Stegostoma tigrinum: one gene and its partners. The protein of the gene in region 4 interacts with the protein of the main gene of each other region in a pairwise test. Links are inferred from orthologs where the notes say so. Each region holds a gene or a part of one and is shown on either strand. Other genes may lie near its edges. The genes, in order: ngly1, si:ch73-264p11.1, tshz3b and trim54.

Evidence for each region.
Region 1: the proteins of trim54 (region 4) and ngly1 interact in binary tests that used the Homo sapiens proteins (3 or more experiments, as listed by UniProt). The two-hybrid records come from large-scale screens. The link is inferred for Stegostoma tigrinum from reciprocal best matches to the Homo sapiens genes TRIM54 and NGLY1.
Region 2: the proteins of trim54 (region 4) and si:ch73-264p11.1 interact in binary tests that used the Homo sapiens proteins (3 or more experiments, as listed by UniProt). The two-hybrid records come from large-scale screens. The link is inferred for Stegostoma tigrinum from reciprocal best matches to the Homo sapiens genes TRIM54 and SH2D1B.
Region 3: the proteins of trim54 (region 4) and tshz3b interact in binary tests that used the Homo sapiens proteins (3 or more experiments, as listed by UniProt). The two-hybrid records come from large-scale screens. The link is inferred for Stegostoma tigrinum from reciprocal best matches to the Homo sapiens genes TRIM54 and TSHZ3.

Annotation. Positions count from the first base shown.
Region 1 is NC_081355.1:63,430,278-63,438,097, forward strand, and holds the start of ngly1 (peptide-N(4)-(N-acetyl-beta-glucosaminyl)asparagine amidase), read left to right. Parts: upstream 1-4,300; 5' UTR 4,301-4,536; coding exon 4,537-4,640; intron 4,641-7,820. UniProt on the Homo sapiens protein: Specifically deglycosylates the denatured form of N-linked glycoproteins in the cytoplasm and assists their proteasome-mediated degradation. Cleaves the beta-aspartyl-glucosamine (GlcNAc) of the glycan and the amide side chain of Asn, converting Asn to Asp.
Region 2 is NC_081365.1:32,323,059-32,330,938, reverse strand, and holds the start of si:ch73-264p11.1 (SH2 domain-containing protein 1B), read left to right. Parts: upstream 1-4,452; 5' UTR 4,453-4,558; intron 4,559-7,880. UniProt on the Homo sapiens protein: Cytoplasmic adapter regulating receptors of the signaling lymphocytic activation molecule (SLAM) family such as CD84, SLAMF1, LY9 and CD244. In SLAM signaling seems to cooperate with SH2D1A/SAP.
Region 3 is NC_081369.1:34,018,778-34,027,082, forward strand, and holds the start of tshz3b (teashirt homolog 3b), read right to left. Parts: upstream 3,491-8,305; 5' UTR 3,396-3,490; coding exon 3,365-3,395; intron 3,025-3,364; coding exon 2,931-3,024; intron 1-2,930. UniProt on the Homo sapiens protein: Transcriptional regulator involved in developmental processes. Functions in association with APBB1, SET and HDAC factors as a transcriptional repressor, that inhibits the expression of CASP4.
Region 4 is NC_081357.1:80,447,486-80,455,081, reverse strand, and holds the start of trim54 (tripartite motif-containing protein 54), read right to left. Parts: upstream 3,081-7,596; 5' UTR 2,975-3,080; coding exon 2,807-2,974; intron 2,314-2,806; coding exon 2,141-2,313; intron 1-2,140. UniProt on the Homo sapiens protein: May bind and stabilize microtubules during myotubes formation.

The DNA of each region.
Region 1 (7,820 bases), on a different chromosome or scaffold from region 4:
TTTGCAATGTAAGTTTTCTTGAAGACAGAATGCATGCTTAGGATAATAATGTTTAATTACAAACTGTGATAATTTCTTTATTCATTAATGGGGTGAGGATGTTGCTTGCTAGACAGCATTTATTGTCCATCCCTAATTGCCCAGAGGGTAGCTCAAAGTCAAATACATTACTGTGGGTCTGGAGTCACATGTAGGGCAGACCAGGTAAGGATGGCAGTTTCCTTCCCTAAAGAACATTAGTGAAGCAGATACGTTTTCCTGACAATCGGCAATAGATTCATGGTCATCATTAGATTCTTAATTCCAGATATTTTTATTGAATTCAAATTCCACCATCTACCAGGGTGGGATTTGAACCCAGGTCCCCAGAACATTATCCAGGTCTCTTGATTAACAGTCCAGTGATAATACAACTAGGCCATTGCCTCCCCTAAAATTTATTCCATTTTCAACTGTGATTGAACAGTTCATAAGAGATCAAGTTCAACTAAATATAACATTGAAATAAAGACACTCTGGAAAGTTATATTGCTTCTGATTTTTGTGCACTTATTCTGTTGTGTTTATTTTTCATGCAACTCTTTTTTCCCCCCAAAAAATGCACACATCACCATTCCTGTCAAAAATTAGGGAGCACTCAAACTCTGTTTCTCTACTCCCTCAACACTGCCTCAAAACAAGTTTTTAATGGGGGTGGGACATGGGGAACAGACTGCTGATTAACTTACCTTTCAATTTAACTTTGATAATATGAGGAACACACCCTAATCTGTATTCAGTATCTTGTCCTAACAGGATCATATTGCATAACAGATCATGGCGTTGTGTTGTGAGATAACAAGGTATAGAGCTGGAAGAACACAGCAGGGCAGGCAGCATCAGAGGAGTAGAAAAGCTGACGTTTTGGCTCTGGACCCTTCTTCACAATCTACAGATTTCTGATCCAGACACACAAACCAATTGTCATGTATAAATTTCACCATAACAACTGGGGGAACTTGAATGAAACTAATAAACATCTAGAATTGAAAGGTGATCTCAGCGAAGATGATGATGAAACTACCTATTGGCATGAAAACCTATCTGGTTCTCTAATGCCATAAGGGTAAGGAAATCTTCCATCTTCACCTGCTTTGGCTTACATGTGACTCCAGAACTACAGCAATGTGGGTGACTCTTAATTGCCTTGTGAAATAATCAAGTAAGCCACTCATTTCAAGGGCAATGAGGGATAGACAATAAATACTGGCCTTGCAAGTGACACCCACATTCCATGAAAGAATAAGGAAAAAAAAATACTATAAGACCATCTTGGAAGGCATGACAACCCTCAGCCTTTCTTTGTCCAACAAAAATCATCTCTTTATTCCACTGCTCATCTGCACTCTTTTCAATCAAATGCAAGCAGCATATGGGTTTCAAACATCACTGTGCCAATTACTCCTCACCTCATTTCAAATCCTTATTATGGTGGTTTTTCTTTCATCTCCTCTCTGCCTTTTATGTTTAGTTTTTTTCATGAAATCGACATCCTAATTCTTCCATCTTCAACTGCCCCCTCCTGTTTGCAAATGTCATTCAATGTTCAGATACTATCAACACTTTCCCATTTTTTAAATGTTTAACGTTGTTAAACATGCCATTAGCTCAAATGTGAATTCCTGCAGTGTGGCTAAAGTTAACAACAGCATAATGACCAATATCATAAATGGCCTTAAATTGATGTGACTGTGGAGGAAATGGGTCATTCCTGGATTTTTCACATTGTTCAGTACTATTGACTAAGGCATTCTCGTCTATCACCGATCCTCGGTTCTAGAAGGCTGTCAGCATTGGGCAATTCAAAGTTTAAATGAATCATGTAAATGCACAAATAAGTGACTGTATTTCAAAATCATATTTTAGATAAGTACAGATGTAATCATTGGGAAATTTGACTGGGGCATAGACATAACCCAGTTCTCATTTTAAAGTCAAACACTATGTCTTTAGATTAGATTAGATTCCCTACGGTGTGGAAACGAGTTTATATTATTCATGATTGTTACGACAAATCTCAAAAGCAGAGTCTTTGCTGCAGTGATCGTACCACGATCCCACTACTGGTTGAGAGGTATAATTTAAATATGATGCATTTACAAAGATAACTCTCACTAATAAAAAAATATAGTAATCCATAATGACGATAGTTTTATCAAGATAGGAAATATACATAAATAAAACACTTTTTAATACATTATAGGTTTAGATATTACACAGAATAGCTATTTAGAGTTGACCCTAATTCAGTTAAATAAAATGTAACGAATATTTGAATTTATTCATTAAAACTTGTCCTTGCAGCAAGTTGTCTATTTTGTAGCTCCAGGCTTACATTGAGAAAGTGATCTGTTATTTCACCTTTCAAATGAGCTTCTTGTATGCAAAATTACAATGAAGGAATTGTTACCTACGCTATCAATTTGTAACCAAAATGTAAAACATTCTTAAACATGCTCAAATCAATTTGACTACACAATAAGGTGGCCATTGCTGAAGGCCAAGAATATTGGACACCAATCCCCAAGGGCGTACTGGCCTAGGAGTGGGGAGAAGACATTACGCATGAGATATCACCATCATGAGCCTCTCAAATAGGGTGACCAGATGTTGGTGTGTGTCCTGACAGTTTCCTTAAATTGTTCAGATGTCCCAGCCTTAAACTTTTCCATGTACTGGAAGCATACGTTTGAATACATGGCTAAAAGTACACCCAGGGGGGTGCTTTTCCCTGCAGTCACCACAGTTTATGAGACTCTTTGCCCCAGATAGTTCAGTGTGATACTTCACATGTCCCCCCAACCCACATGTTTGTTCTGTGTGCCCTGTCAGATCAGTGTCACACTTTGTGCCCCCACTCCACCGAAGTTCGAGTGACAGTGAGCGTACACACTCAAGACAGAGGCTGCTCATTGCGGACACATGCACACACACACGCCCCTCCTCATTCAACAAACATCTATTTACACAACAAGCCAGGACAGGATGAAAGACAAGCCACTTCCAAACCTCATTTTCACATGAATTCCACCAAGGTCAGTTTGGAATGTACACCCCCCCAAGGCTAACTCAACATTAGAAAGGGCATAGGTTGAAGGTGAGTGAGGAAAAGATTTAAAAGGGATTAAGGGGCAAGTTTTTCATGCTGAGGATGACGTGTGCATGGAATGAGCTGTCAGAAGAAATTTTGGAGGCAGCTACAATTACACCATTTAAAAGGCATTTGGATGGGTACATGAGGAGGAAGGTTTAGAGAGATATGGGCCAAATGCAGGCAAATGGGTCAAGATTAATTTAGGATATCTGGTCAGAATGGATGAATTGGATCCAGAACAAGTCCTAAAGTCCTCTGTCTGCTTCCGTTCTTCATTGATCAAGATTTGGAGCCTTGCCTATCTCTCTCTAGCTCTATTTCTGGAGTTAAATGAAAAGGTAGAGCAAAAATCTTATTAAACTTCTAGATAGCTTTTAAATGATTATTTTATGAATTACTCATTTTTAATCAATTTATTATTTTGCTTAGCAAGTTATTTTATATACCCAAAACAGATCTCAGAAGGGTCTCGACCCGAAACGTCAGCTTTCCGGCTCCTCTGACGCTGCTTGGCCTGCTGTGTTCATCCAGGTCTACTGATTCTCCAGCATCTGCAGTTCCTACTATCTCAGGTAGGTGTTGCCGGGATCCTTATTGAAGGGGAACGAGAAGATCACAAGAAGTCTTAAGTATTTTTTGGAAGACCAGCAAAAGGTTAGTTCCAAGTATTGGAAAGGCTCAGCATGTCAGCAGTTTTCCGTGTGGAGAGAAAAAAGCGTTCTGTGACTTGTCGTCAAAACTAGTTAGGATCGTGATTTTTTTTAACAATATAAGAAACTTGGAAACAGAAGTACTTGGGCCCTCAGATAACAAAGTGTGGAGCTGGATGAACACAGCAGGCCAAGCAGCATCTCAGGAGCACAAGAGCAGACGTTTCGGGCCTAGACCCTTCAATTCCCCGAAAGATGGATCAGCACTACTACTTTCAGTTTCTAAAATAAACAAGACTGAGGAGGAGCCGTCCTTTGGACGAAACATAAGTAAACACAAAATAAAATGTAAGAAAACACGGGAAATATTTTTAGAGAAGGACTCGTGAACAAAGAGACAGAAGCAACTTTTCAGATTCGTCTACGCTCACTCACCAACTCCCTGAGGCGCAGGCGCAACTCAGCCATGGCCGTGCCACGACGTCACGACGTGGGCGGAGCAGGAGGTTGTCCGCCCAAAACCAAAGAGCATCAACCCGAAAGGGGCAAGAGCGGCGCTAATGCAGCGTCATCACTTCCTGAACGGAGGTTATTTCAGTTTCTTTCCTCAGACAGCCGAGCGGTTGTCGGTATTCCGGTTTTCTTTTTAAATTGGAGATTGTCTGCCGTCTGAATACACAGGAGCAGCTGTTCGTCGAGGAAGGGGAGTTAAAGCGCCCTCTCCTGTGGGCTGCAGTCCATAGCCTGTCCACCATGGTGTCGGTGTCGGTGGCTGTGAGCGAGCTGAGCCAGAATCCCGAGCACATCTTCCTGGACGCTTCAGAGCTGCTGCTGAAATATGCCGACAACATCCTGAGGTAAGGGCTAGGTCCCGGTTTGCGGGGGAGGGTGTTGAAAATGGTAGCGCTCAGCCGCCGGCTCCGTTCAGGTCGCCCTCAGAGAGTGAAGTTGGATTCAAGGTTAACATACGTTATTTTCTCCCTATCCCAATGTGTTGTTTCGATGGGTCGATTCACTCCCCGAGTTACCACCTTTCTCATAGGTTGAAGGAAAGGTTTCGATTGTTGTGTTCTGGGCGAGAGGGGTGTACGTGGGAAGTTTGGCTGGGCTTCGACACACTGTTATAGTATCAGAGGCTGATTCTTTTGCAGCAGTAATCAGAACTCAGAAAGCACTCTGAGGCAATAAAATGTGAGGCTGGATGAACACAGCAGGCCCAGCAGCATCTCAGGAGCACAAAAGCTGACGTTTCGGGCCTGGACCCTTCATCAGAGAGTCCAGGCCCGAAATGTCAGCTTTTGTGCTCCTGAGATGCTGCTGGGCCTGCTGTGTTCATCCAGCCTCACATTTTATTGCCTTGGATTCTCCAGCATCTGCAGTTCCCATTATCTCAGAAAGCACTCTGTCAGGCCGTGCCCACTGGGAGAACACCCAGAGGGTTTTAAGAAATCTCTCATCTGTCAGGAATCGGTCTAAACCTCCTACTGGCCACAGCCAGAATTGCTTGGAGACCCCGATATCTTGCCTCGCATTCTTGCGTGGTGTCCAAAACCCCAATGTGGAAATTCTTCTTTAGTCTTTCCAGGATTGTGACGTTCTTCCTAAGGTGTTTGGTTTTCCCCGGAATAATTTGCAGTGCTGCAGATGCGGTCTAATTGTAGACTTGTAAAGGTTGAATGTAACGTCCTTATTTTGTTGTCACTATTCATTAAGCCAAGTGTTCATGCTTTCTTATTTACATCATTAACCTTCCCTGCCACTGTGTGTGAACGTGCAGATCCCACTTCTCTGCACCCTTTAGAATGGTATAATTTACATCATACTGCCTCTCCAGATCATTTATGCTAAACTGCATTCTACTGATAGTAAGTTGTGTGTGCTCATTTCATCAATGTCTTGCTAAAGTGTGGCTCTTCTGTTTACTGCACATTGTGTTGCCATGTATATATCAATTGCAAACATCAAAATTGTATGTTATAGGTAGGTCTAGGCTATTAATGCAAACTGCAAAAATACAGTAATCCTAATACTGACCCTTAAGTGGATGAGTGGGTGGGAACCCTGTTGAATGCTATCTTCAGTCAAAAGTAACTTGGCCGTTGCCTGCTATCTCCCAGCCAATTTCATTACCATATTACCATTGTCCCCTTTTCATATCATGTAGTTATGTTTAAGTCTATTAGGTTATTCTTTATCAAATATCTTTTGAAAGTTCATATTACACATCAATTGCACCAGCTTCTTCAATCTTCTTTTAGATCATCAAGTAACTCAATCTAGATTAGTTAGCTCTGATTTTGTCTTGAAAAAGTGGGAATTTGTCTCAATTAGCTTTTGTACCACAGATGCAGTCCTTCCCCAAATGTTTTTGAACCAAGAGGCGACAATGCCATAACATGTAAACCTATTGCCAGTACTTCAATGTCCAAAGAAGAATTGAAGATTGTGATCAGAGCATCTGCTGTCTACCTAACTTGGCATCACATTTCTATTTTTCCTTTTCTAATCCAGCATCTTGACTGCCTCCTCGCTGCAACTTTAATGTTATCCCTTTTCAGAATGTCTAATTTCTGTTTCATCCTTAACCAATCTCAATCTTTATATTGCTTCATATTGTGAAAATATTTATTTTGCACTTTTATCATTTGGGAATTTGAATTTCAAAAATAGAGGCAAATGGAATTGCGTTTCAGTTTTGTTTTGGAGAGGTCAGAGTTAGTGGCAGAAATGACCTAAATAGAATTTCTAAGGAAGCATGTGGCTTAGTAAGTGCCAAGCCAGATACCGGTGGTGTTACTTAATGAGGTGTTTACGTTGCTAAGTTTATGACATGCAGAAAAATAAATGACCAGGAATCACTGGTGCTTAGGTTTGAGTTCAGTTCAGGAGTATCAGATTTCAGTTTCATCTCAGCAGAATGATTTTTATTTTATGAAGTCTCCAAGCTGCCAGAGTTTGAGTAACAGTTTCAAGCTGTTGAATCTGGAGGGAAGCCCTGAGGCCATCGGAACTGGAGACAGTAATTAAGAAATTAGTTAAGATGGGAGTAATACTAAACTATGAGCATCTGTAAATAATAGCTGGGAAAGTTTGAAACTTTGTTTTGCTGTTGATATTAAAATTTTTCTAAATTGTTGGATAGCTTTTTTAGTTTAATAAACGTGAGTTCTTGTAGTAAAAGAACCATAACAGCTTTACGTGAATATGTTCAATGCCTGACTGCAGTGGTAAGCTACTGTAAAAATAAACTTTTTGATCTTTCAAGCCAAATTTCGTATTTAGATCTGACATATCCAGTATAGCTATCAGCCGGGATCGTGGCAATATGTTGATCTAGTATTTTTGGATTTAATTTGTTAATTGCTAACATTTTCATATATTTTGCCCTTTTTTCCCCCCCTCTTATACTGGCAATATCCATAAATTTCCATAGAATCCTTACATGGGGAAACAGGCAATTTGGCTCAACGGGGTCACACAGTCTCTGAAGAACATCTCAGCTAGACCCATCCCATCCCTATAATCCTGCACTTTCCATGGCTAACCCACCTATGCCACTGAACACTATGGGCAATTTAGCATGACCAATCCACCTAACTTGCATGTCTTTGGACTGTGGGAGGAAACTGGAGCACCTGGCAGAAACCCACAGACGGGGGAGAACATGCAAACTCCACATAGTCACCCAAAGGTGGAATCGAACCTGGGTCCCTGGCACTGTGAAGCAACAGTGACCTCTCAGCTAACCACTGAGCCACCATGTTGCCTTTTTTAAAAGTTTAATCTCCTAGCTGACGTTTGTTCAAACTTTTCCCTTTAACCATGATTTCTTTTATCATTCAGGCACCAATAGCTTTGGATTTCCCATCTTTCTTCTTTGTAGGAAGATGCTTGGTTAGACCTAAAATATCTTTGCCATGAAGGCTCAGTTGCATTTTTCCTGGTCAACTTGTTTTCATTTGCCCTTAAATTGTAAAATTGTCTCACTTCTCATTAGATATTTTCTCATGATTTTTCATGAAATTACCTAATGCGTT
Region 2 (7,880 bases), on a different chromosome or scaffold from region 4:
ACTGTGGGGAACCTTATTGAATGCCATGCTGAAATCCATATACACCACATCAACCGGTTTACTCTCATCTACCTGTTTGGCCACCTTCTCAAAGAACTCAATAAGGTTTGAGAGGCACGACCTTCCCTTCACAAAACCGTGTTTACTATCCCTAATCAATTTATTCTTTTCTAGATGATTATAAATCCTATCCCTTATAACCTTTTCCAACACTATACCAACATCTGAGGTAAGGCTCACTGGTCTATAATTACCAGGGTTGTCTCTACTCCCCTTCTTCAACAGGGGAACCACATTTGCTATCCTCCAGTCATCTGGCACTATTCCTGTAGACAATGACGAGTTAAAGATCAATGCCAAAGGCTCGGCAATCTCCTCCCTGGCTTCCCAGAGGATCCTAGGATAAATCCCATCCGGCCCAGGGGACTTATCTATCTTCACCCTCCGAAGGATTTCTAATACCTCTTCCTTGTGAACCTCAATCCCACCTAGTCTAGTAGCCTGTATCTCAGTATTCTCCTCGAAAACATTGTCGTTTTCTAGAGTGAATACTGTTGAAAAATATTCATTTAGCGCTTCCCCTATCTCCTCTGACTCCACACACAACTTACCACTACTATCCTTGACTGGCCCTAATCTTACTTTCATCATTCTTTTATTCCTTAAATACCTGTAGAAAGCCTTAGGGTTTACCCTGATCCTATCCGCCAACAGCTTCTCATGTCTCCTCCTGGCTCTTCTGAGCTCTCTCTTTAGGTCTTTCCTGGCTACCTCGTAGCCCTCAAGTGCTTTAACTGAGCCTTCACATCTCATCCTAACATAAGCCTTCTTCTTCTTCTTGACCAGAGATTCCACCTCCTTTGTAAACCACAGCTCCCGCACTCTACAGCTTCCTCCCTGCCTGACAGGTACATACTTATCTAGGACACACAGGAGCTTTTCCTTGAATAAGCTCCACATTTCTAATGTGCCCATCCCCTGCAGTTTCTTTCCCCATCCTATGCTCCCTAAATCTTGCCTAATCTCATCATAATTGCCTTTCCCCCAGCTATAACTCTTGCCCAGTGGTATACACCTATCCCTTTCCATCACTAAAGTAAACATAACAGAATTGTGATTGCTATCACCAAAGTGCTCACCTACTTCCAAATCTAACACCTGGCCAGGCTCATTACCCAGTACCAAATCTAATGTGGCTTCGCCCCTTGTTGGCCTATCTACATACCGTGTCAGGAAGCCCTCCTGCACACACTGGACAAAAACTGACCCATCTATAGTACTCGAACTATAGTGTTCCCAGTCAATATTTGGAAAGTTGAAGTCCCCCATGACAACTACCCTGTCTCTCTCACTCCTATGGAGAATCATCTTTGCTATCCTTTCCTCTACATCTCTGGAACTATTCGGAGGCCAATAGAAAACTCCCAACAGGGTGACCTCTCCTTTCCAAAGAGAGAGGTCATATTGAACATAGGCCCTTAGAAAGTGAACCTGAAGAGATGGTTTTTGGGAAAAAGGAAATGGCAGAGGAGTCAAATAAATATTTTGCATCAGTCGTTACAGTGGAAGATATTTTGAACATTCCATTAATACCGATGAATACAGAGGGAGGAATTAAATACTTTCACCATCATAAGAGAGGTATGATCAGACAACCTTATGGGATGCATGTACCATAACATTATTACAGGTAATATTAGACAAACTAACAAAGCTAAAGGCAGATAGGTCCCCTGGCTTGTATCCTAGGATCATAAACGGGGTAGCTATAGAGATAGTAGATGCATTATTTGTAATTTTCCAAGAATCCTTAAAATCTGGCAAAGTATTAGAAGATTAGAAAACTTGTCAATGTAAGACCTCTATTCCTAAAGGGAGGTAGGCAAAAAGCAGGTAACTCTAGCCTTATATCTATTGTTGGAATATATCAGAATCAATTATTAAGGAAATAATACCAGAACCGTGAGAAAATTATAATCTAATCAAACAGAGTCAGCATGGTTTTGCGAAAAGGAAGGTGTGTCTGACTAATTTTTATTCAAGACTGTCCTAACAGAGTGGGTAGAGGGGAGATACTGTATTTGAACTTCCAGAACCTGTTTTGACAAGGAACCTCACAAGACATTCAATCATTTGATAAGGGCCTATGGTGTTGGAAGTAGTATATTAGCATGGATAAATAATTGGTGAATGGCAGGAAATAGTGGGTGTAGATAAAGGGTTCTTTTTCAGATTGGCGACCTTTGTCCAGTGGGATTCTATAGAGTTCAGAAAAAGAGAATGCACTGTAGTAAATTTAGAGACAACACAAAAATAGTTGGAAAGGCAGCTTGTGAGAGAGGTATACATTGTTTACAGAGAGGTGTTGATATGATATGTAAGCGGGAAAAAATGTTGGCAAATGGAATTGAATATAAAAAAAAGAGAAGTTATTCATTTTGGGAAAAAAACAAAAGAATAGAATGTTATTTGAATCGAGAAAACTGCAGAAACCTGTAATACAAAGGGACTTAGAGGTACTGGTGCATGAAACACAGAAAGATAGCACATGGGTTCACCAGGTAATCAAAGAGGTTCATGGAATGTTAGCCTCTATTTCATGGTGTTTAAGTTATAAAACTAGAAAGTCTTACTGCAACTGTACAAGGTGTTGGTGAGACCACATCTGGCGTACTATGAACAGTTTTGGTCCCTTTTTTTAAGAAAAAATACTATTTCATTGGAGGCAGTTCAGAGAATATTCACTAGGATAATCCCTGGTATGGAGGGATTGATTTGTGAGCAAAAGTTAACCAAGTTGGGATTCTACTCATTGGAATTTAGAAGAATGAGAGGTGATCTTGTTTAAACATTCTGGATTTTTAATAGGTATTGCGGGATAAATGTTGAGAGGATGTTTCCCCACGTAAGACAGTTTAGAACTAGAAATGAGATAGTAGGAATTGCCGATGCTGGAGAATCTGAGAAAACAACTTGTAGAGCTGGATGAACACGCAGGCCAAACCGCATCAGAGGAGAAGGAAGGCTGGCGTTTCGGGTCTGGACCTTTCATCAGAAATGGGGGAACAGAAGGGGATTCTGCAATAAACAGAGAGGGGGAGGTGGATGGAAGGTGGATAGAGGAGCAGATAGGTGGAGAGGAGACGGACAGGTCAAGGACGCAGGGACTAGAGAAATAGTCTCAGAATTAAGTAGCACCAATTTAAGACTGAGATGGGGAAGAATTTCTTGACACTTTGGAACATGCCACAGAGAACTGTGGGAACTGAGTCCTTGTTCGTATTTAAATTTGAGATAGATAGATTATTGATCAGTCAGAGAATCAGGGCAAAGGGCAGGAAGGTGGAGGTGTAGAGTGTCAGATCAGTCATGATCCTATTAAATGGCAGAACAGGATCAAGGGGCCAAATGGCCTACCCCTGTTTCTGTTTCTCATGGCCTCAGTTAGTAAGGAGGATTTTGCAGGGCTGTTTTATTTTCAATACCACAGTCATGTGTCAGGCAACCTATTTTATTTCATTCCTTTCTTTAAACTTTGTAGTGCTTGACACAACTGAGTGCTTGCTGATTTCAGAGAGCAGTTTAAGAGTCCACCACATTGCTGTGGATATAGAGTCACATATAGGCCAGACCAGATCAGTATGGCAATTTCCATTGCTGAATGGAAATTAGTGAAGTAAGTAGGCTTTTCCAACAATTGACATTGGTCCATGGTGATCATTGGTCTTTTAATTCTAGTTTACCATTGAATTCAAGTTCCCATGTGGTACCTGGGTCTATGGATTATTACTTCCGTGACAATACCATCAGGCCAAAACATTCCCTTAAACTGAAATGAAACAGCAATGTCGGAATCGTCAGTTCATCTCTTTTAATGTAACAGACAGAACATTGGAGACAACTCCCTCCTTCTTCTTTGAAATAGCGTCACTGTATTCTATATGTCTACTGGAGGGCAGATGGGTCCTACACCAGCACTTCATCTGAAGCCATCCTGATCATGCAGCATTGCAGACAATGTCAGCTTAGGTTTTGAGGTCAATAGTATAAAATGGTACTGTGACTTACAATCCTCTTTGTCAGAGATCAGGGTGAAACCAAATGAGCAATGGCTGACACTTAGAGGAAACTCTAGCCACACGAAACTTTTAAAATTTGAGGGTGTGAAATTAACTGGACGTGTCTTCAGTAATTGACAAACATTGTCCTGCTGAAACCATATATTTTGTTAGACTGTCAATTTCATATGTTATGCTAAGTTTACTATCTTCCATGCAGTTTAGAGTTACTGCATAAAATATAGGTAGATTGGAAACTTTTACCTTTATGCTATTAAAAGCTGACGTAATGGATCCTGTGGTTTTCAAGTCAGCAATATGGTGAAGCATTGCATCACTAATGCATTTTTTTAAATTCACGTCTGACCAACAGCATTTCATTAAAGCGTTTTCCACAGAAATGATCTATATTGCATGAAAGGAACATAATTGCTGATTTCTCTACCAACTTGTATCGATATTGCCAAACAAAAGTAACATTACATTCCACAGAAGATAAGGTAAGATTGCAAAATGACAAAGATATATAATTAAGCTTAGTAAAGTTATGAAACAGGAGCAAAAGCCGTAAACTAGGCTGCATGTCATTTCTGCATACATGTTCGAACTAAAGCATTCAAATTATTCATAATGGCTATTATATTTCACACTTTGTGCTATTTCAGCTGGTACAGAAACAGTCTGGCTAGATTTTTGATGTTGAATTTATCATGTAGTTAGATATACTTGCACACTACAGTACTGATATGATGAAAATTTCCTAATAAGGCAAAAGTTTTGAACAGGCAACGTGTAAAAGTTTAGTGAATTCTTCATTCACTTGTAATCTTGATGTAACAATATTTCTTGCAATGTGTTGATATGCTTACAATATTAATATTGTCAGTTGCTCATTTGTAACAGCAGTAAACACTGTATTGTTAACACTGAGAGTAATGAAACAAATGGCTGATGGTGTCAAGCAAGTTGACCTAATTACTTACCGTCAGTAGAGAGAATGACCGATTTGGATGGGATGCACAGTGCAGTAACATAGTGTGTTACGGGATTAGTAGTCCAGAAGCCTGGGGTAATGTTCCAGGAGTATGAGAACAAATCCCTCTTGGCAGTTAATTCAATTAATATATGTTCCTTCTGCTGCCGGTATAATGTGGTTACAGTATGCACCATTTTAAAATGCATGGCAGCCTCTCACCAAACCTTCTTTGGTGGCAGTCTCCAAACATTGAACCTTGACTATTGAGAAGTACAAGAGTACAGTTGTATGAGAATACCATGACTTGCAAGTTCCTCTCCAAACAACACATATCCTGACTTGAAAATATATCATAATCCCTAATTGTTGCTGGGTCAAGCTTCTGGATCTCCTATTTCAATGGCCTCTCAATTTTTACTTCCACATATAGAGATTTGTGTATTTACATCTGCAATATTACTGCTCCTCCTTTAAAACTGTACCATTTAGTTAAAATTGCCTCCTCCTTATTCCTAGCAAAACATACCACTTCTCAGTTACTGGCAGTAAAATTTGTCACGTCTCAGCTCAAATTGACAGTCTATGTCTTCCTAAAACCTGCTATCATCTTCGCTGTTTACTACATTTCTCAGTTTACTCTTACACCCAATTTTGAAATTAAGTCCTGTGCTTCGGGGTCCAGATCATTGGTACGGGTCAAGAAATGCAAAAGTCCTAATAATCCCACTGAGGGGACATCATTGTGTACTTCCCTACATTACAAAATTACAGCTACTCATCCTACCACTTGATCACCGCTACACCCTGCTTTTTGTCACTTATCACATTTTGTAGCCATGTTGCCAATATTCCATCAAACACAGAGGATTTAATTTTTCTAAAAATTCTTTCATATAGCATTTTGTCAAATGTGATCTATGAATCCACGTACACATCACCTGCATTGCTTTCGTAAACAATCTCCTTACCGTTCCTGTTGGAAGATGTCTGGAACCAATGGATACAATCTCAGAGAAAGGGGCAGTCCATTTAAGAGTGATACAGAGAGGATTTTCTTCACTCAGAAGATGGTGAATCTCTGGAATTCTCTACCTCACAGACCTGTGGAGATTCAATCGCTGAATAGGTTTAAAACAGAGATTGACAGATTTCTAGGTAGTAAAGATATTACGGGATATGAAAATCCTGTCGAAAATGCTGTTGAGGTCGAAAATCAACATTGAATCAAAGAGTTGGCTTTATAGGCCAAATGATCCACTGCTATACCTATTTCTAATGTCCTTATATTCCTCTGCAGCTGCTTCAAAGAACTCAAATTGATCAAATTTGATTTGCTGCAAATAAATCCATGCTGATTTAACTCATGCTAATCGCCAATTAATTTGTCTCAATTATAATCTCCCAAATAGTTTTGCTGACTGATCTGTAGTTTTTTGGTTTATCTCTCTCCATTTTAAATAAAACGGAGCATGATAATTGTAATATCTGTTAAGGGTTGGAAGATTGTTGCCAGAGGCAAGCAATTTGACATTGTTATTTCTCTCCCTAATGCAAGATGCATTCCATTCAGACATTGGATTTTTTATGTTCTGATTGACTATTGATGAAGTGCATCATCTTTATTCTGTTTTTATCCTATCAGACGTTAATAGTGCTTAGTCTGTTACGGCTATATTAGCAGCATTCCATTCTTCATAAGTCTTTAAGACATAGAAGCAGAAATATATCCTTCGGCCCATTGAGCCAGTTTAAATATTCAATCAGCATCACTTTCCTGCCTTATTCCCAAAACCCTCGCTTCTCCACTCTTTAAAAACCTGTCTGCTCCAGCCTTGAATATAATTAAATACCCAACCTCTACAGGCCTCAGTGGTAAAGAATTCCACAGATTCACTACTCTCTGAGAGAAGAAATTCTTTGTCATCTATATAGATAGATTGGAGAGTTGGGCAGATAAATGGCAGATGGAGTTCAATCCGGGCAAATGTGAGGTGATGCATATTGGAAGATCTAATTCAAGAGTGAACTATACAGTAAATGGAAAAGTCCTAGGGAAAATTGATGTACAGAGAGATCTGGGTATTCAGGTCCATTGTTCCCTGAAGGTGGCAACGCAGGACAATAGAGTAGTCAAGAAGGCATATGACATGCTTTCCTTCATCGGACGGGGTACTGAATACAAGCGTTGACAGGTCATGTTACAGTTGTATAAGACTTTGGTTCGGCCACATTTAGAGTGCTGTGTACAGTTCTGGTCGCCACATTACCAAAAGGATGTGGATGCTTTGGAGAATGTGCAGAGGAGGTTCACCAGGATGTTGCCTGGTATGGAGGGCGCTAGCTTTGAAGAAAGGTTGAGTAGATTAGGATTATTTTCATTAGAAAGACGGAGGTTGGGGGGGAACCTGATTGAGGTCTACAAAATCATGAGGGGTAGAGACAAGGTGGATAGCAAGAAGCTTTTTCCCAGAGTGGGGGACTCAATTACTAGGGATCATGAGTTCAAAGTGAGAGGAGGAAAGTATATAGGAGATATGCGTGGAAAGTTCTTTATGCAGAGGGTGGTGGGTGCCTGCATTGCCAGCGGAGGTGGTAGATGCAGACATGATAGTGTCTTTTAAGGTGTATCTGGACAGGTACATGGATGGGCAGGGAGCAAAGTGATACAGACCCTTAAAAAATAGATGACAGCTTTAGACAGAGTATCTCGATCAGCGCAGGCTTGGAGGGCTGAAGGGCCTGTTACTGTGCTGTATTTTCTTTGTTCTTTGTTCTCTATCTTATGCTCCTTATTCTGAGATTCAGCCCACTGGCCCTAGATCTTACATAGGGAAAAACCCCTTTCT
Region 3 (8,305 bases), on a different chromosome or scaffold from region 4:
CTATCGACTCTATCCATGCCTCACATTACCTTGTACACCTCGATCAGGTCACCACTCTTCCTCCTTCTCTCCAGAGAGAAAATTCCGAGCTCAGTCAACCTCTCCTCGTAAGACAAGCCCTCCAGTCCAGGCAGCATCCTGGTAAACCTCCTTTGCACTCTCTCCAAAGCCTCCACATCTTTCCTATAATAGGGCAACCAGAACTGGACACAATATTCCGGAGTGTGGTCCCACCAGGATTTTGTAGAGCTGCAGCATAACCTCGCGGCTCTTAAACTCGATCCCCCTGTTAATGAAAGCCAAAACACCACATGCTTTCTTAACAATCTTATCCACCTGGGTGGCAACTTTGAGGGAGCTATGCACTTGAACACCAAGATCCCGCTGTTCCTCCACACTGCCGAGAATCCTGCCTTTAATCCTATATTCAGCATTTAAGTTCGACCTTCCAAAGTACATCACTTCGCATTTATCCAGGTTGAACTCCATCTGCCATTTCTCAGCCCAGCTCTGCATACTGTCAATGTCTTGCTGAAGCCTGCAATAGCCCTCGATACTATCAATGGCACGTCCAACCTTTGTGTCATCAGCAAACATACTAACTCGCCCCTCAACCTCCTCATCCAAGTCATTTATAAAAACTACAGAGAGCAAAAGCCCAAGAACAGAGCCCTGTGGGACACCACTCAGCACTGACCTCCAGGCAGAATCTTACCATCTACAACCACTCTCTGCCTCCTGTCAGCCAACCAATTCTGAATCCAGACAGCCAAATCACCCTGTATCCCATTCCTCCTGACTTTATGAATGAGCCTGCCATGGGAAACCTTATCAAATGCCTTGCTGAAGTCCATGTACACCAGATCCACTGCTCGACCCTCGTCAATCTGTCTCATGACTTCCTCAAAGAACTCAATAAGATTTGTAAGGCATGACCTGCCCCTCACAAAGCCATGCTGACTCCCTTTAATCACGCTATGCTTTTCCAAATAGTCATAAATCCTATCCCTCAGAATTCTTTCCAAAACCTTGCTGACCGCAGACGTAAGACTGACTGGTCTGTAATTTCCAGGGATTTCCCTATTCCCTTTCTTGAAAAGAGGAACAACATTTGCCTCCCTCCAATCTTCCGGTACAACTCCCGTGGAGAGTGAGGAAGCAAAGATCTTCACCAGCGGCTTAGCAAGCAACCTCCTTTCTCGCTTCCCGGAGCAACCTAGGATAAATCTGGTCTTGCCCTGGGGACTTATCAATCTTAATGTTTGCCAAAATTTCCAGCACGTCAACTTCCTCAATCTTGATCTGTTCAAGCCTGTTTTCCTGCTCCTCAAAGTTCTCATTCACAACAAGGTCCCTCTCCTTAGTAAAAACCTAAGCAAAACACTCATTTAGGGCTTCCCCTATCTGCTCAGACTCCACACACAAGTTTGCTACGCTATCCCTGATCGGCCCTACCTACTCCCTCATCATTCTCTTATTCCTCACGTATGAGTAAAATGCCTTCGGGTTCTCCCTAATCCTTCCTGCCAAGTCTTTTTCGTGCCCCCTCCTGGCCCTCCTCAGTCCACTTTTGAGCTCCTTCCAAGCAAGCCTGTAATCCTCTAAAGCTGTGCTAGACCCTTGCTTCCTCCACCTTACGTACGCTGCCTTTTTCTTTTTGACAAGAAGCACCTCTGTACCCGTCATCCAAGGCTCCTTAATATTACCCCTTCTTACCTGTCTCAGAAGAACAAATTTAGACATCACTCGCAACAACTGCTCCTTAAACAGCTTCCACACGTCTGCTCTGTCCTTTCTGTGGAACAATTGTTCCCAATCTGTACTTCCCAACTCCTGTCTGTTAGCGTCATAGTTTCCTTTACCCCTGTTAAATATCTTCCCCGGTAACTGCTCCTTTGACAGGAATCAGAATCAATACAAATAAACTTGAATTAACAGGCACATGTTACTTCAAATAAATATAATAATTTGCCCTTAAATAGTCAATATAGCAAAGATATATTTTAAAGAATCACAAGTACTGCAACATTCCCCACAGGCATGTGGCGCCACGTGCTGTTCCAAGGTTCTCTCATTTGACTCTGGTAGTAAAAACCTCTATTTTCCCACCCAATAAATTTGGCTCTCAAGACACATTCACCAACATCCGTATTGTCCCTGGAGACATTCATTACCCAAACAACACAATCCTGCAGAACCTTCTACGTTAGGCTTGAGAGTATTGATGACACAAATTCCCCAGAGATCACTTTGTCCAAATCTTTCTATACACCCCTTTTTATAATCAGCTTTGCTAAAACTGAAGCAGCGGCATTAAAATTGTCAAATTCTCAATCTTTGCATTAACCCTGTTTTCAGGTTTCTGTTCTGTTTAAATGTATTACACAAACACAACTCATTGTAAATATGAATTCAATTTTCTTCGCTCCACTGTAGCTCTCTTTTGTATCTGACACATAGCTTCCATCTTAATGTCCTAACGTTTTCTTCTGCCTTCTGGTCAAGGGTTGCCAAGCCAATTGAAACAGTCCTCTTGTTATTCAAGAAATTTATTGTTTCTCCCTTTACAATTGATGCAAATTATTAAAAATTATTTTTCAGAAAGTCTTTAAGAGATCATTGACAGATTCTATCAACATTTAATGAAATTATAAATTTTTCTCAACTGCTTCAGGTCAAGGCTCCTCAAATTCCTAAAATTATGCATTGAAAATATAAAGTTTTCCCATATTTCTAATAATACCAGAGGAAGACAATGCACTTGCTTATCTCTGTTTCCAAAGCTCGTCTTTCCTAGAACAGAAGTTCTAGCCTGAGGGATGACGTGCTACATCATACATTGCTGACCAAGAGACTCCACTATTTATACAATCTGTCATGTGTATATCAGAAGTATGGACAGGTTAGTAATCAAACTGTTATTAATGTACCTTCTTTGACGATCATGATTCATCATTCCCAAAATGATTCCCAGAAGATTCTGGCTCAGAGGCAAGGAAACCACCCTCTCCACCACAAGACCTCCTGCATTGAAAAACAGGTGGTAAATTACAAGGGCAAAAGAAAATTCAAAAGAAGTAAAGCTATGTTTGGTGGAGATTGTCCAGCAGCTCCAGACATTGGGTTCTACACCCCAGTGAGGGGCCTAAGTCTCAGAGTTAAGCAACTTAGCATGCCCGACAGTGTGGTGTGGCTGCAGGATAGGCATGCAATGGGTGTTAGATTCCAGTGAGTCTAATGGGTAATGTCGGTAATTTTCACTCCACTACCTTTTCGAGCCCGAGGCCCAGGTTCAAGGCCTACTTGCTCCAGACATAGAAAAGACCTATTTCACCTTCTTCATCCCTAATAGACTCCAGCTCACCTCTTACTGCCAGCAGGCTGAGTATTTCCATGCGTCAGAAGAATTTTGGATTCCTTTTTATGCTGTCATTCTCTTCTCATTTTCCGTCTTTTCCAGTCTTATCATCCTCTTCATTTTCCCTCTCTGTTTTGTGGGCTGAATTTAAAGCAGCCAGGCCTGGTGGAAAACATGGAACTGGATCCACTCAATTCTGGGAGAGGCTCACATCAGTCTCCGAGCAATGTGAAATACAAAGCCATAGTAGAAACACAGTCCCTCATGGCAGGTTGTCAATTGACTTCATTATTGAACCCATTGGGATCTGACTTTAGTGGTAACTTAGGGGCTACATGTCAATGGCATAGCTTTCCCAAACTTCCAGAAGGCTGTTTATCTGCTGCCTACTATGGGGTGGTCCCTCTTTCAAAAGCACTTAGTAACTGATTGAGTGACCTGGTATCAAATGCCTCCCGGTCCTTCCCTTCCACCTCCCCCATATACCCACTCTGCTAAAACTGTCACTGCAACCCCCACTCTAACTTCACTCACCTCTGACCTGGTTATTTCAGTGATCCTTGTTCTTTCTGGTGGTGATGCTTGAAGTCCTGAATCCCAGTGAAGGCCCTGAAAACTGTTGAATTGACTCAGCTCACTTCTTGAGAAGTGACATTCCTTTTCCACCAGTTCTCCAGCTAATTGACTGGGCCCATATGAATGACATAAAATGCTGTCTATTGTATTTGGCTTGGTGCTGGCTTGAAAAATTCATCTGATGTGTATCAAACACCCCAAGCTGGATTTTGGTGACCCGATAATTCTTTGAATCGAAAGTGCAGCCTGAAAAGTTAGTGATGAGGTTATGTGAGAGACAGTAGGAACTGCCGATGCTAGAGCCTGAGATAACAAGATGTAGAGCTGGATGAACACAGCAGGCCAGGCATTATCAGAGGAGCAGGAAAGCTGATGCTTTGGGTCTGGACTCTTCTTCAGAAATGGGGGAGGGGAAGGGGGCTCAAAATAAATAGAGAGAGGAGGAGGTGATGATAGAAGGTGAATGGAGGAGCAGATTGGTGGAGAGAAGACGGACAGGTCAAGAAGGCAGGGATGACACCAGTAAAGATGAGTGTAGGTAGGGAGTTGGGATAGGAGTTGGTCAGTGAGGAGAGAGAGGTGAGTAGGTGGGAGGGAAGATGGACAGGTCAAGAAGGCGGTGATGACATGGGCTGGTCTTGGGATGCAGTAGGTGGAGGGGAGATTTTGAAGCTTGTGAACTCCACATTGACACCATGTGGATTGGGCTGCAGAGTTCCCAAGCGGAGTATGAGGTGCTGTTCCTCCAGCCTTCGGGTGGCATCGTTGTAGCACTGGAGGAAGCCCAGGATGGACTTGTCAGTCAAGGAGTGGGAGAAGGAGTTGAAGTGCTTCACGGCTGGGACATGTTGTTGTTTGTCACAAACTGAGCGTAGGTGCTCCACAAAGCCTCTGCTTGGTTTCCTGATGTAGAGGAGGCCACATCAGGAACAGCAGATACAGTATACTGCATTAGCAGATGTGCAGGTGAACATCTGCTTGATGTGGAAGGTTTTCTTGGGGCTTGGGACAAGAGTGAGGGGGGAGGTGTGGGGGCAGGTGTAGTACCTCCTGTGGTTGCAGGGAGAAGTGCCAGGTGTTACGTACCTGGATATCTTACCTTGGTTTTTGGCTTATGCTATTTCCCAGAGGGGATGGGTGGAAAGTGGACATCTGAACTCTACCATGCTCCTGAACTGCCAAATGAAGTAGTTAGGGTATTGTTTAAAACCCAACCTCACAACTTTTCTTGGTTTTCCCAGTGACAAGCTGTTCCATATAAAGTGTGGTCACTGGCCCCTCAAGCAGCATACAAAGGTATTTACAGTATTGGTAAAGATAACATGAGCATGACCAGTCAGCCTGTATACAAAAGCGCAACTACATTTTTCCAAATAGTCTGCTTCTCGTAGATTCGACAAAAAACATTGCACGTACAGGTTAGGTTAGTCTCCCAATATAAGTACTCATTCAGCTGCTATGCACCCAGATGGTCATTGTCATTTCAAAGCTGCCTTGCTCAGTATAGGAGGTTTGCGGAAGATGTTAGAGAAAGGGAAGATGACATCATGATTCTCCAACAATGACCTGGAGGTTCTAAACAAGTGGGTGGTGCAAAAGAGAGGAGTTCTCTTCCAAGAGGACTGGCAAAGGACACCATGCCACCTGATCCTGGCATCCTGGTCTGTAGTCACCATTGAGATCAAAGCCATCTCCATGATGCAGAGGAATAGCCAGTAATTCCGCAAGGAGGTCAATTATCTTCTCCTCTTCACCAGAGCAAGTGCCCCACTCTTCTCTTTGCAACCTAATACTCAGTCTATCTCTGCTACTGCATCCGCCTCGCACCATAGCTCATGATCTGCCATTTTCACTCTGGCATGCAACCTCTTCTGCTACCCGCTCACACTACCTCCATCCTCCCTCAGCACCAACCCTCCATGCCCTCTGTACTACTCACTCCCTCAGAACTCCTCAACGCCCTTCACCCACCAGGACTTGCAGCCATGCCATCTCACTCAATTTCTCACTTTACAGGAGAAGACAGCCCATACATGGCAGAAGGAGCCAATATGGGGTGGAGGAGTCCTGATGTTAAGCTCCTCACCCCATCTGAGGAGAGAATCCTGGCCATTGCAGGAAAAGACATGGATTGCTCCTGCAGAGATGTCAAAGTATTCATGGCCCAACAATCTGTTAAGCACCATTCTTCCTTCCACTGTAACTCTCACATTAATGTTGTCATTGTTGTTCATTGCATCCTACCTCTGGCCACTCACCACAATGCCTGTGTGATCAGGCACTGTCTCCTGCTTGCAACTGGGATCATACTGACTGTGAACGAGCCCTTTCCCCCTTCCCTATGACCCCTTCACATCATGTTTTAATTATATCCCTCCTTTCACTTACTGTCGGCCCTTTACAGTTGTTATTCGTGCCTCACCCTCCAAAAGAATAACTTGCCAAGTCTCCTTCCTGCAACCTCTTTTTCCACGCTTCGCCCCCTTTTACTCTTAGTTACTCTGATCAGACCCAATGGACTGACAGTGGCTTATCTGCATGTGTGATGCAACCAGATTGAGAAGTGCCCAGACCCGTGGCTGCTAAATGTATATCTGCCTAATCCCATTAGCCCTGCTCCCTCTAGAAATGGCCAACATGGAGCCACTGTAACTGACTGTCTCCCACTCCCCAAACTGCAGAGGCACGGACACCTACATAAACCAAGCAGATGCTTGACCAATCCCCTGGATTGGTACTTAAGGCTGCCCAGAACTTATTGTGGTGGGTCCGCTTGACTGGTGGGTGTCTCCATGGGCTTCAGTGAAGAGTAGTCCCTTAAGGTTTTGAGACCTGACTGCCTGCTTGCAGCCAATGCAAGGTGTTCACTATGTGAGCTGTGATACATGCAGTGTGTGTGCTGTGTGAGCTGTGATACATGAGTATGCTATGTGAGCTGCAGTATGTGCAGTGTTTTTGCTGTGAGCTGTGGTACATGCAGTATGTATGCTGTGTGAGCTGCAGCACGTGCAGTGTTTTATGCTGTGTGAGCTGTTGTACTTGCAGTGTTTTTGCTGTGTGAGCTGCTGTACATGCAGTGTATTTGCTGTGTGAGCTGCTACACATGCTGTGTGTTTGCAGCATGTGTGTTTGCTGTGTGAGCTGCTGTACATGCAGTGTATTTGCTGTGTGAGCTGCTACACATGCTGTGTGTTTGCAGTGTGATCTGTGATACATGCAGTGTGTTTTCAGTGTGAGCTGCTGTACATGGTGCAGGTGTGAAATTGATATAGCACATTGTCAGAAAGTAAACTTTCTGCCTCTTGACTGAGGTCTGCTGATCAGGAAAGTTAAGTGCCTGGTTGTCTGATGGCAGTACTTGGGATCCCAATGCACAGCAAGGATGCTGTGAGCCTGCCAGTCAGCGTGAAGTGAGCAATCTGTGAGAGAGTAGGCAAGCAGCCCTGAGATGCAGCATGGTCCAATCCTTCAACTGGGTACCTGCCCCTTTGCACAAAGCCATTAAAGAGTAATCTAGATGATGTGGATGCTTTGGAGAGGGTTCAGAGGAGGTTTACCAGGATGCTGCCTGGACTGGAGGGCTTATCTTATGAAGAGAGGTTGACTGAGCTCGGTCTCTTTTCATTGGAGAAAAGGAGGAGGAGAGGGGACCTAATTGAGGTATACAAGATAATGAGAGGCATAGATAGAGTTGATAGCCAGAGACTATTTCCCAAGGCAGAAATGGCTAGCACGAGGGGTCATAGTTTTAAGCTGGTTGGTGGAAAGTATAGAGGGGATGTCAGAGGCGGGTTCTTTACACAGAGAGTTGTGAGAGCATGGAATGCGTTGCCAGCAGCAGTTGTGGAAGCAAGGTCATTGGGGTCATTTAAGAGACTGCTGGACGTGTATATGGTCACAGAAATTTGAGGGTGCATACATGAGGATCAATGGTCGGCACAACATTGTGGGCTGAAGGGCCTGTTCTGTGCTGTACTGTTCTATGTTCTATGTTCTATGTTCTATTCCTTCAACAGTTGTCCAGTCAATGATTGTAGAAATCTGTATTGAATTTGTTCAATGCCTTTATGATTCATTTGGTGATTTTTTTTACTGCTGTCTCAGCCTTTTCATTTGGCTGGGAATAGTGTGGGGTCGGTGTATGGTGTTGAAATACTCAACCCTCTATGAAATGGCTAAATTCTTCACTCAGTAGTTGAGGGCCACTGTCTCTCATCACAATGTCTGGAATGCCATAATGATTGAAGTGCACATTCAGACATTCGACAACAACACTGGGTGTCATTGATATCAGTTGGTCTAACTCCCAGTTGTCAGAGAAGTAGTGGATAGTGACAAGATTATTCAGCTCATGACTGAAGAGGTTTACTG
Region 4 (7,596 bases):
AACAGCCCTCTACACTGTCAACGACACCTCCGACCTTGGTGTCGTCTGCAAACTTGCTGACCCATCCTTCAATCCCCTCGTCCAAGTCATGAGTTGTTTGTTGTTCTGTTCTTCCTTGGTGATCCTCTTGATCTCAGTGAATAGGTTATTAATAAGCTGATGTGTTTCTTCTAACTTTGCTCATTTAATGATAAAGAAAGTATCGTTGATGCAGTTAACCAATAATTTAGGCTGGATCTGGGGGAGGATCTGCATGTTCAAGTCTTTGCATAACTGCTTCCATTATAAGACCCAAGATGGGTGAACACACCTATGCAAAAATGGCGGTGCCATAAACAACATAAACATCTTGAAATAGACCCCAGCTTAATACCACGATGGAGCAAAACTGGAAACAGAACCACCCGCCATAACAGACCAGACCATATAAATTTAAAATGGAACAGAACGTTAGCACTTCAGCGGAGGCTAGACAGCACTGAAAATGTCACCCAGAATGGGAATGAAACATTTGTACAAAAACCAGTCAGCTCGGCAAACCAACCAACAACTCTGATCTACACAATAGATCAAAAGCATTGATAGCACCAATGTTAATGTTTTAGTAAACAAAATGATGAGCTTATAAAATAATCCTGAACTTGTAGCCACTTGCACAATGTAAATTACTATACAAGTGTATTGTCACTTTAACTAAAAGTTATTAAACGTTGTGTAAATCGTAAACTTTAGTCAATAAAACAGTCGCACATTAATCAAAAATTTAGATGAATATAGTAGAGGGATCATATCAAGATAAAATATGTGACTAATAACTATCTCGGAGAGTTATCATTGGGTCAAGTATGGTAAATGATAAGCATCTGGTTCAGTGAATCATAGCTTTAAACTATCTTGCTGAAATAAACTATCTTGCTATTATTGTCAGTATTGTTCATGGACCCTAAATGTATATAAATTGGTTGACATGTTTTCTCCAATTACAACAGTGACTGCACAACATTAACTGCGATACAATTTGCATGTCCTTGTCTGAAGGGCAAAGTTTAAATTCTCTTAACAGTCAACAATTAGACTATTTACCCATTATTGTTATTTGGAAAAGACAATAACCCAACTGAGATAGACTAATTGAATGAGACCAGAAGATTCTGAACAGAAATGTAAAATAACTTTATCATTGAGAATTTGATTTTATATTTAAAATAGTTTACATTAGTGATTTGTTTGAATGAGTCTGACTATGCAATTGGAAGTCATAAAAGTGATTTCATTTGAATTATGCTCTGTCATACAAACTGAAAGTCTTGCAGATGTGTTGGCATCAAACAACCTCATTTGAGGATTTCACAAATAGCATTTCTATCTAAAATAGATGAGTGGTGTTAGAGTTTCCTCTTTTTATCCATCAATCGCAGGTCTCCAATCTTAAGTAGGCTTTGATTTAGTGCTTCAAAGAAAAGGCATTGGAACTAGAATTCTTTGTTACTGAAAGCAGAAACCACAACATCAATTAAAGGAAAACTGAAAATTAAAGTTGGAACATATAGGCCTATTAAGGCAATAGGAGTAGTTTTGAATTGTCCTAATAAAAAGACAGCATGGGCATTATCCATACAGGTTCCTCCTTTGTTGCAAACCTCTTAAAGAATCCTTGAAAAAAGACAAAGATCATAAACCGGCCCATGTGAATTTTGTACCCAAAAACCCAAACAAGTGGAATACAAGGATTTGCATCTTTTCATCCTGCAGTTTCAGGTTTTTCAGACCCTGTTCCCTGTAGTACGACTTACCTCATCATTCCTCTTCCTTTAACCTTGTTACTTTCTTAATTTGAAAATTGTGAGCATTTCCTACATAGTACTATTTGAATTCCCATTGTGGAACATTCTACTGTATTCCCAAAGGATTTGATATTGTTTGTTCTTACTTACTAATTCCTGAGCGTGGCTGATAGAAAATATACTTCTTTTTCACCTCAGCCAAAAGAGCAATATAGAAGTAAATGATTATGAGAAAGTGGTAAAGACCACTTTATTTGAATAAAATAATAAAAATGTTCTTCTATGTTTACAGATCATTGACTAAACACACTCATTCTCGGTTCAGCTTTCTCTATAAATAAAGCACATTGCGTAACCTGGATGATTCTTGCTTGTAGATATCAATGATATTTTCCACCAAGAGATTTCTCTGCAGGCCATAAACTCCATGGCGATCCAGTACTACCTCATGTCGGCAGGAAGGACAGCGAAAGCGACCCCCTGAAGGCACTGTTGTGGAGCCTCTCGACTGCCAGAATGGATTGGAAGCCTGTGAATTATGTACCAAATAAAAGTGTCAAACAGCCCTAAAAGAGTATTCAGCTACGCCACGCGTTACTCACATTCCTTTGCCTCTTGTCAGTCTTCCGCTTTTTGTAGATATTCTTCTTTGTTTTTTTTTGCTTCAACAGAACCATGCAGCTGAACGCCAGTGTTATCACCCACAGCTCAGGCAAAGAGAAAGATGTTTTATCATTAAAAAAAGAGATGAGCTGGACTTGATCATAATTTCTGCCGCCACTGTATTTGTGATCTGACATACTCTTCTTTCTCATTTCTCCTCCCCTACATCCCTTCACATGTAAATCTGCACTCCAAGCAATCTGATGTGTAAAAAACAGGCCTAAACATTAAAACTATTTTATCAAGAGCATGCTTCTAAAGAATAGTTTTCATGGACTTAAAATGTTAATACTATTAATAGTGCATTAAGGTTAATAACTATGCCACGGTAAAATGCCACTAAGTTCTGAAACACCTACCTGGAAAACGTCATTGGCACATTTTCTACACAAGTTGTGTTGACATGGTAAAATCACAACTGGCTTTGTGAACATTTCCAGACAAATAGGACAAATAAGTTGTTTCTCCAAACTGTCCATTGTCTGTGCGCCTCCAAGCATTGGTTTGAATCCTACTGCAAGGTTCATCCCCAAAATCAAGAGGTTCACTCAATCTGTTAAATAGAATTTTCCTTTTCCCTCTCTTCAAGGCACTGTTTTTCCCAACCTGTGCTCTCCGCTGAAACATCAACTGTTAGGCAGCCAGCTAAATTTAGAATCATTTCACAGAGGATCGTATTGCTTTTCTTTTAGCCAACAAATCACATGGACTAACAGTTGTGGGCTCTGCATTCCTCACTCCATATTTATCTCCTGAAATGTGAGACTGAGATTTTGAACAGCCATTTGTTGGGCAGCTCTTTCCCTTGTCAAATGATGTTTAGTCATGTAGTAAACTACTGATTATATAAATTACTAAAACAAAACTGAATGCAACTCAAAAGTTTCTGAAATCAACTCCCTGAACAAAGTTTCAAATTGAAAACCTTAAATTAAATCCAATGCAACCTGTTATCCTGTGTACAGCACTTTTTATGCTCAGCAATATATTCCTGTTGAATATATATATTTTTGCTTTACTTTGCAACTTAATCTGATTTCATGAATAATCGATGCACAAAACAAGTGAAGTGTTTTCAGATTAGTTAATTAGGAAATACAATCCTCAGCCTAATGCAATTGAAATCTCCAATTAACACAAATGATAAGATCACAATTAAGTTGGATATAAATATAAAATGAGAAAAAATGTTATACCTACCAAAGCAATGTGCCACCATCTTTCACGAGAATGTAGTTAACTACTCCTTTTTCATGACAGACTGCTATGCCAAAACAAAGGAATGGTTGTCCCTAGCAAATGTTGAGAAGTATTTAGCTGAAAGTAGCATCTAAGGAGGAATGACATGCTGGTCTTCTCAATATTAAGCTGCTCTGTGGATTTATGTTAGAATCTCAATTATTTCTAAAAAATATAAATAAGCTATTTCTTTGTTATGGTCTGTCTCCTTAGGCAATGTCACCTCTTATGGCACCATCTTAGGTACAAATATCTCAGCATAAATCTTAGATACAAAAAAGGAATACAAAAAGAGTAGCTGCATTACTTTACAGTGTTCAATGAGTAAGTCGAAATAAGACCTGGTTAAAGGATTGACAATACAGTCACATGAACAATGAATAAACATGACATTGCAGAATCTCAGTGCAGAGACTTTCACATGTCCAACAACTATACCAATTCCGCTCCAAGCTCCAAACAATCCATTGTCTGTGCACCTCCATGCGTCGGTTTGCATCCCACTGCAAGGTTCATCCCCAAAAGCATACTCTCTCTAAATTTCTTGTCATGGATGTCTCATCCTTCACTTAGCATCTTTATTCTTCATTGGGATAGAACTCTTTTTTCATGATTTCTAGACATGACAAAAGCAGCAAACACAACACATAAATAGACCTTGAAAATAATTAATTCTACATGAAGGGTGTAAATGATGTTTAGATCATCAACTACTAAATTAGTCATAAAAGCAGAATATGGTGAAAATACTCAAAATGTCTGGCAGCATCTGTGGACAGCAACAGAGCTAAAGCTTCAGATGGCTGACCTCAAAATTAATTCTAAAACTTAGATATAGATCTTTGGGGCTTTTTTATTGTTGCCACAGTTGTGGTCAGCATGTGGTATGAAATCAACTGAAGAATTGGTCAAGGATGTATAAATGAAGTGGATTTCACTCATATTGGATTCATAAACAAAAAATCTTGAAAATCATAATTAAAGCTTGAATAATGAGAATTTATATAAAATAAATGGAGTGGGAGTGGAGAAAACAATCAACAATTGGAAAATATCAATATAATTCTAAAAAACACAAAGTGGATATCCACACAAGTTCCATAAGTCTCTTCATGCATATTTTGAGAAAATTGTATTGAATTGAACAAATTAACTAGCTAAAGACAAAACAACTCAATTTCTTTATTCTTTCAAGGGGTTCTCTCAAGCAAATTCTTTGCTCAACCTAAATTGCTTTAATAATGTACATTAAATCTTAAATTTTAGTAACTAAGTGCTGTTTAAATCAGAGGCACACTGCTATGGGGGCGGCATGGTGGCTCAGTGGTTAGCACGGCAGTCTCACAGCACCAGGGACCCGGGTTCGATTCCAGCCTCGGGTAACTGTCTGTGTGGAGTTTGCACATTCTTCCCGTGTCTGCGTGGGTTACCTCCGGGTGCTCCGGTTTCCTCCCACAGTCCAAAGATGTGCAGGCTAGGTTCATCGGCCACGCTAAATTGCCCATAGTGTTCGGGGGTGTCTGGGTGGAATGCTCCAAGAGGCAGTGTGGACTTGTTGGGCCGAAGGGCCTGTTTCCACACTGTAGATAGGGAATCTAATCTAATCTATCACAGGCCTTCACTCTCATGACTGTTTAAAGCTGGGTGATGAGGAGGTGAGCAGGCCTTAAGGTACTAGCTGAGTCTACTTGTGTTACCTATCACTACTTGGACCTTTTATCAGAAGGGTTAGGTGGACGCTAAGAAGCAGTGCAAGGAATGGTCAAATGTCACTAAAGAGTGGTGACTGCTGAGAGGTTGCAAGCTCACTGAAGGCGTGAGTTTTACCTAAACCAGAATGAACTCAGTTAAGATCAGGGTGAGTGCCATTCTGCCAAAGAGAAAGGCATTAGTTGAAGGCCAAGTAACAATCACACAACTCACATTAATTCAGCAAATAAATCTGAAATTGGAAGCTAGATTCGGTAATGGTAATGATAAAACTATCATTGATTATTCTGACAACCTATATGGCACACTCCTGCCCTTTGTGAAATGAACATACTGTCCATACGGGTGATTCCAGGTGTACTAGCAGGTGACAGCTCTGCCATGATACTGTTTGTTGCTGCACTTCTAATCAGTTTTGTGCCACCAATGTGTTTATACCTGAAGTATAATCTCCCTACCTTGTATTTGATTTCCCCTTGCAATAAATGATTTTATTATATCAGCTTTCCTTGTTACTTGCTGTACCTATTACTAACCTTTTTGTGATTCATGCACTAGGATATCCAATCCCGCTGCATCGCAAACCGCTGTAATCTCTAATCATTTAGATAATCTTTCTTTTTAAAATTCACTTATTTTTCTAATCAACCTGTTTAGAAATCTTCTTAAACACTTCTGGAGCAAGTGGGACTTGAATTTGGGCCTTCCAGTCCAGGAGTAGGGACCCTACCACTGCATTACAAGAAGAGCTACCAACAATAACAAATTTTACAATTTCTCACACCATACTGCATTTGCCATTCTCCTTATTTTTCCATCACAATTTACTTTCCTACCAATCTTTGTGCCATCAGCAAATTTAGCAACTATACCTCCCATTGCATCATCTAAACCATTTATGTAAATTGTGAAAAGCTATGGTCCCAAAACCCGTTGTTACAACTTGCTAACCCGAAGTGAATCTATTGAGTCTACTTTTTGTACCTGCTAACTATTCAAACTTCTACCCATTATAACATGCTACCCCGCACGCAGAACTTTTATTTTCTACAATAACCTTTGATGTGGCACCTTATCAAAGGTCTTCTGGAAGTCTAAGCACAGCACATTCACCAGCTCCACTTTATCCATAATGTGCTATTTCCTTAAAGATCAGCAATAAATTTGTCGAAGATGATTTCCTTTTCACAAAACTATATTGACTCTGCCCAATAACCCAAAACTAGTCCGAATGTATGACTGTTTCTAATATTTTCCTTATGACAGATATTAAAATTGTTGGCCTCTAGTTCCATCAGGTACTTGTCAGCTCACAATTCCAACAATTTACTCAACCCTACTTCCCTCTTGATTATTATTTTCTTCAGTTCTTCCCTCTCTTGATTCTTGATTCACAGCTATTTCTAGGATTGAATGTATATCCTCCATGGTGAAGACTGATTTGAGTTCAATTCTTCTTTCATTTCTAATTTCTATCTAAATCACTTTTACATTCCGTGTTCCTACACTTAGGTCTTCCTTCTCTTTTATGTTGGTAACATCGTGAAATAAGAGTCATTCCTCCAATTCTTCCAAGCCTCCTGCCCCTTCTATAATGCCATATAATCTTCAATATTCAGGTGTCAATCTATGTCATCCTGCAGCCATGATCCATGATAATGCTATTGAATATCATGGGGAGATAGTCAGATTCTCTTAGTAGTTGCGATTTTCAATAATTCTGTAGATTCAGCTTGGAAATTAGTGAAGTAACTAATTTATTCAAAAAGTGGGGTAGTCAGAAGTGAGGAAACTACAGGCCGGTTAGCTTAATATCTGTCATAGGGACGATGTTAGAGGTTAATATAAACAATGCTATGTCAGGGCATTTAGAGTACTTCAAGGAAATCAAGCAGAATCAACATAGCTTTTTGAGCAGGCTAAGCAATCCAACAACCAATGGATTAAACCTAAGTTCTGTCATCCAACTTCACTAAGTCATAAATGGTGGTGAATAAGTAAACAACTAGCAGGAGGAAGAGACTGCAAATATCAGTGTCCTCAATGATGACTGAACCTAGCGTATCACTGCTAAAGAAATGGTTTTGCCACTATCTGCACTATGGTATAAAGTGGATGGTCCATTACATCCTCTTTGATTGGCACCACATCTACAAACATTCACTCCCTTCACTACCAACAACACATTGTAGTAGCAATG